Tribolium castaneum: one gene and its partner. The protein of the gene in region 2 interacts with the protein of the main gene of each other region in a pairwise test. Links are inferred from orthologs where the notes say so. Each region holds a gene or a part of one and is shown on either strand. Other genes may lie near its edges.

What was found.
Region 1: the proteins of Tcs5 (region 2) and EKC/KEOPS complex subunit Tprkb interact in binary tests that used the Homo sapiens proteins (3 or more experiments, as listed by UniProt). The link is inferred for Tribolium castaneum from reciprocal best matches to the Homo sapiens genes TP53RK and TPRKB.

The regions. Positions count from the first base shown.
Region 1 is NC_087399.1:3,468,583-3,471,235, reverse strand, and holds EKC/KEOPS complex subunit Tprkb, read left to right. Parts: upstream 1-1,257; 5' UTR 1,258-1,367; intron 1,368-1,421; 5' UTR 1,422-1,506; coding exon 1,507-2,013; 3' UTR 2,014-2,057; downstream 2,058-2,653. Other genes in the region: Arpc2 (probable actin-related protein 2/3 complex subunit 2), read left to right, coding at 533-560; raptor (regulatory-associated protein of mTOR), read left to right, coding at 2,248-2,403, 2,453-2,555, 2,601-2,653. UniProt on the Homo sapiens protein: Component of the EKC/KEOPS complex that is required for the formation of a threonylcarbamoyl group on adenosine at position 37 (t(6)A37) in tRNAs that read codons beginning with adenine.
Region 2 is NC_087394.1:35,200,200-35,202,973, reverse strand, and holds Tcs5 (EKC/KEOPS complex subunit TP53RK), read left to right. Parts: upstream 1-1,431; coding exon 1,432-2,109; downstream 2,110-2,774. Other genes in the region: MED23 (mediator of RNA polymerase II transcription subunit 23), read left to right, coding at 1-317; uncharacterized protein LOC658853, read right to left, coding at 377-420, 467-1,006, 1,052-1,148.

The DNA of each region.
Region 1 (2,653 bases), on a different chromosome or scaffold from region 2:
GTGTAAGGAACAAAGTTGTAGAGAATTAAATTTCCTACAAAAAAGTCCGCGATACCATATTTCTATCTTTAACGGTTTAGCTATAAATTAACTCTCCGATACTTGGCAACCGGTAAAATGAAACAAATCCGTCGCTTGAGCGTCTTTGGACCACTTTGGGGCCAAAATGGTTGAAGATATGGATATGGTCTCGCGGACTTTTTTTTAGCAAATTCAATTCTCTACAACTTTCTTCCTTACACTTTTTTTGTATCTTCAACCGTATTCGCACCGTTTTGAAAAATATGGGGGAGTGCAAATTGGTAAAAGTTTGACATTTTTTTAATTACAGTTTACGATAAATTTTGCTTATGTTGAGAATTTAATGCTTCATCTGTCTGTATTTTTTGTTTTACTAACATAACCAAGGAACAACTGCGCTCTCTGGCGACACTGACGGAACTATCGAGAACGGAGCGTTTTATTTGTACGTCGTTTCGTATCCTAACTTTTAGACATCCGTATCATAATTTAATTGATTGATTTGTTACAGAGGGAGAACTTTCGTTCGACGGGATTGATGTGTATAGTACTAGTGAACTTTGCTTGTAAGATCAGCTCAAAAAAGGACTAATAACTGCCGACAATTTATTAAACTTAACTGTTTCATTCAATTTTCCCATCAGTCAGTTCTTGCACAGCCTCTCTTGCAGTTTATTTATTAAGTCAATCAATTGGTTCATTCAGTACTGAATGCTACAGTTCAGTTAATAGAAGTGCTGATTTTTCAGCTACTTGTGTACATAGATTCAATCTTTTAACCATGTGCTTCCTTTGAAATATGGGTAAGCACATCAATATTGTGAATTATATATTTCTAATACAAAGTTTAATTACATATTTTTTACCCAGTTTGCGAGACGTGTTTTAGGTTTTTTACTATGTATCCGCTTGTTGTTATCATTTTGATTCGGAACGATCCTTTTTACTATTGAGAACTTGAACCGCCAAATAAATTGTATAACTTAACATAGTTTAATAGGTAATAAATGAATCGTCAATTTCTATAGCAGGTTGCAATATTTTCGGATTTCTGTAGGCAATTGGACGCATTCTTCATGCTCATTTCATTTTTATATTACATTAACAGAGCAAGACACTGTTTAATTCAATAATAGAAAATAAAATGTTATTTTAAAGTCTGTGTATCATTTTTTTACCAACTCGAAAACGTGTGGCGACACTTGATTGAACTTTATTAAGCCAGGATGGCCAACTCAAGCAGTCATTTTGGATGACTTGCTACTAACGCGAAATTCCTATTATTTTAAATTATTAAAGGAATTTCAAAAGACTGTATTGAGAGTATCAATAATTGGGTGGGAGCAGCAAACACGCACAATTTTATTTGTAATTTTATTAATCATTTTCGTGCGTTACAGATTCTACAGTAGCGAATTTCTCGCCTGAGACTGACAATAAACCTAACCCTACAATTCCACATTTTTTATTATTCACCGTTAAAAAATGGTTAAAGCGGCATTGGACCCCCTCGTGAATAAAACCCTCAACATCCGTTTATTCCACAGTGTTGAGAACGTGTCCGACTTGCGTAAAAAAATAATGTCAGGTCAACTTGAGTGTTGTCTCGTAAACCCCAAGTTGATTGTGGACCCGTTCCAGTTAGTCGTGGCCGCAAACAAGGCCCTAACTGCCAAAAACCGCACCACTAAAACGATTTTCACTGAAATTTTATTCAATTTGTCTGTATCCAAACACATAACGAAAAGTTTGCAACAGTTTGGGATCACTGACGACTGTAGAGACTTGCTGGTGGTGACTGTCGGCGACGACGACAGTCGCGTTCTTTCTGAAATTAAAGGCACGGAAGTGGAGTTGGGGGCACTTGAGGAGATTCGGGATTTGGGCGCTGTTAAGAAGGCTTACAAGATTGGGCCTGAGGAAGGGGCGACTAGCACTATTGTGGACTCCGTCGTCAGTAGGATAGCCACTAAGGATTTTATCTCGCATTGATTGTATTTAATATTGATAATAAATTATTAAAAAAGCTCTAAAAGCTGTTTGATTTTGGTGTTCCCGCTCGAGTGAACGAAAAACCCTAACAGTTGGTAGTAAGATGGCAGTTTTGTTGTCGTGCCATGCGTGTGTAAATTTTAGGTGTTGATTCCGTTTTTTGATGTAATCGTTACGACTTAAATAAATCCCACTTCACAACTCCTAAAAAACCCGAAAACGCGGCTGAAAACTATGACAGAGTTGGGTGTCAACGGCAATGACGAGAAAGACAGTGACAAGGAGGCTGTCTCCGACAAGGACCTGCCCCTGAGCTTCATGCAAGACAGGCACTTGGAGCCCATCGAGGGCGTCGAGTGCATAACGCAGACATGGCGCATGAAAGAACGCGTAACTGCAACCCGCCCACAAGTTGCTTGTTTTAATTACAAAATTCCAGATGAAAACAGTGAGTGTGGCCCTAGTTCTGTGTCTGAACGTGGGCGTGGACCCGCCCGACGTGATGAAAACCCAGCCATGTGCGCGTCTGGAGTGCTGGATAGGTAATTAGGTCGGCATGCGTTCGCGGAATTCAGGTCGTGTTCCAGATCCCTTAACCTTGTCCGCCCCAAAGTCGATCCAGAAAATCGGGGAGAACCTG
Region 2 (2,774 bases):
TACCGGCTGTGGTACGGTCCGAAGAACAGTTTCTCTATGTTTGTCATCTTGTGGGGCCCTTTTTGCAACGGTTTAACGTGGCAATAGTGGAATTGACGAGTGCTTTGTACGAACTGTTGGCACAAGTTGACCACGCGCACAGCGAGTTGAAATATATGGACCCGATCTGCGATCTCTTGTACCACATTAAGTACATGTTTGTGGGGGATAGCATGAAGAAGGAGTTGGAGACTGTGGTGCGCCGGTTAAGACCGCCTTTGCAAATGAGGTTGAGGTTTATCGCACATTTGGCGATTGAGGAAGTTAATGCATCGTAACTCACTTGTATTATGTTTTTACATTTACGTAAATACATTTTTATAAAAAAATAAAAAACTTAATCCGATTCACTCTCCCTTGAACTTGGAAAATCCGGTTTCGCTAAAACAGTTTGTTATTTAATTGGTAACATTTCGTCGTTACATACCTTGTTTGGCCAATTCTTGCTGTTTTTGCTCATTTTCTATATATTTGGTCTGTTCGGCAATCACCGATTGGCTGTCGCTACAATTTGAATATACCTCCAATATATTTTTATTCAGTTCGATAAATGAATGTCCCCACGAAAATTTATCTAAATACTGCCGAGCTAATTTTTTGTATCCGGTGATGTACAAAGTTGCGGCTATCGCTTCAACGCAACTTAATTGGCAAGGTCGCCCGTAATTGATGGGGTTTGCGGCCACGAGAAACGGTAATAAGCGCCCATGTTGGGGCTTGAGTGCTGCAATGGGTGTCTCGTCGATTCTGGCCCATGAGCAGTCCACCACGGCTACCCCCTTGCTTGAAACAATGTCGCGATCATTGGGACTTACGCATTTAGTGCCAGTCGGGGTTAATACCAGCCCTGGAAATTTTTGTTTGACTTTTAGGGTTTTAATTAATTTTAGACGCGATAATTTGCGGCCTGAACATTTCTTGGGGTCACATTGATTAAAATCCCACATGGCAATGGGAAAGTCGGGTACTGAAATATCATTTTAAGTCTAGTTTTTGGGGGCTGTGACGCTACCTTCTTCATCGCTGCTTTCGCTACTTGAGTCATCGGAATTATCAGTCGATGATGAATTTATTGTTGCGTTCTCAAGGCTCTCCTCGACAGAAGTCATGCTTTACTATCAAGTAAAAAATTAAAATGCGACTATTTTTTAGGTTAGATAACATAACCCATAAATGTCACGTTCAGTTGAACGTGTGAGTAGAATTTTTTGTTATTGAGTAATATTAATACAAAAAATTGGAAATTGTAATGTCTTAGAGTAATCAGTGTAATGGAACGATAAACATAATTGATCAGCTCGTAATTAACAATAAATATTTACAATTACGTAACCTCACTTTTTTGTGTCAACAGCAAGAGTGAAAACTGGAATTAGTTAAAAACTACTGCAAATGGAAGGGTTCGAATTGTTCAGACAAGGTGCCGAGGGCCGAATCTTCAAAGGAGTGTATTTGGGAAAACCCGCAATTGCCAAAGAACGATTCGTTAAGAAATACCGGCATCCGGATCTTGACTCACACTTGACCAAAGAACGGATAAAAAGTGAAAGTCGTTCAATAATTCGGTGTAAATCTGCCGGAATAAGGACCCCCGCCTTATATTTAGTTGATTTCAACCGCCGTACTATTTTTATGGAGTACTTTGAGAACAGTATCGTGGTCAAGGATTTCATAGCACAAGCAAGTAACGAAGTTATAAGTAAGTTGGCGTTAAAAATTGGGGCTGTGTTGGGCAAAATGCATGCCAATAGCATCATTCACGGGGACTTGACAACATCAAACATGCTACTTGTTAATAAAAACGGACAAAAGTCGTACAGTAACTTGCAAGATTTAGAGCTGATTTTTATTGATTTTGGATTATCTCACGTAGAGTCTAGCGCTGAAGATAAAGGGGTTGATTTGTACGTGTTGGAACGAGCCCTTATCAGTACACATAGCACAGCTAGTGAAATTTTTGACCAAGTTTTGGAGGGCTATAAATTAGAGAATAAGTCAGGGTTTAAGGAAGTTTTGGCTAAATTTAAAGAAGTGCAAGCTAGGGGCCGGAAGCGTACAATGGTTGGTTGATTCATTTATTTATAATCTTGATAGCATGCCACCTGCTACTACAATTGTTTCCCCAGTCATGTAACTGGCGTCGTCTGATGCTAAAAATGCAGCTGCGCCAGCTATTTCATGTGGCATTCCCATTCTGTAAAAATAAATTCTTTAACTGAAAAAACTCAATTCGTATTGCAATAAACCTTCCCATCGGAATCATTGATAAAACTTTCTTTTTGTCTTCCTCTTTCTCGACCAGCTATGATTCAAAATGTTATAACACAATAAAAAATGTTTTTGCCTCTTACAAAGTGCGAAAACTTGGTTTTTATTAAACCCGGGGCTATGCAATTAACGGTGATATTTTCTTTAGCTAACTGGGCTGCTGCTGTTTTAGTGAGTCCAAAGAGTGCACACTTGCTCACACAGTAAGCCCCAATCAACTTGAACAAAATTTTAGCTTAAAGTTTGAGTACCTAACTGTTTTTACATCCAAAGGCTGGAAACCACCAATGGACGAGATGAAAATAATTCGACCGCAGCTACTTTTGCGAAGTAACGGTAAAGCTTCTTTCGCTAACATGAAAGCAGCTTTCACGTTTACATCGAAAATTTTGTCCCACGCTTTTTCGTCACACTAGAATCTGGTTTTATGGCTTTGTATTAAAGTAATTGGAGCTAATATACGTCCA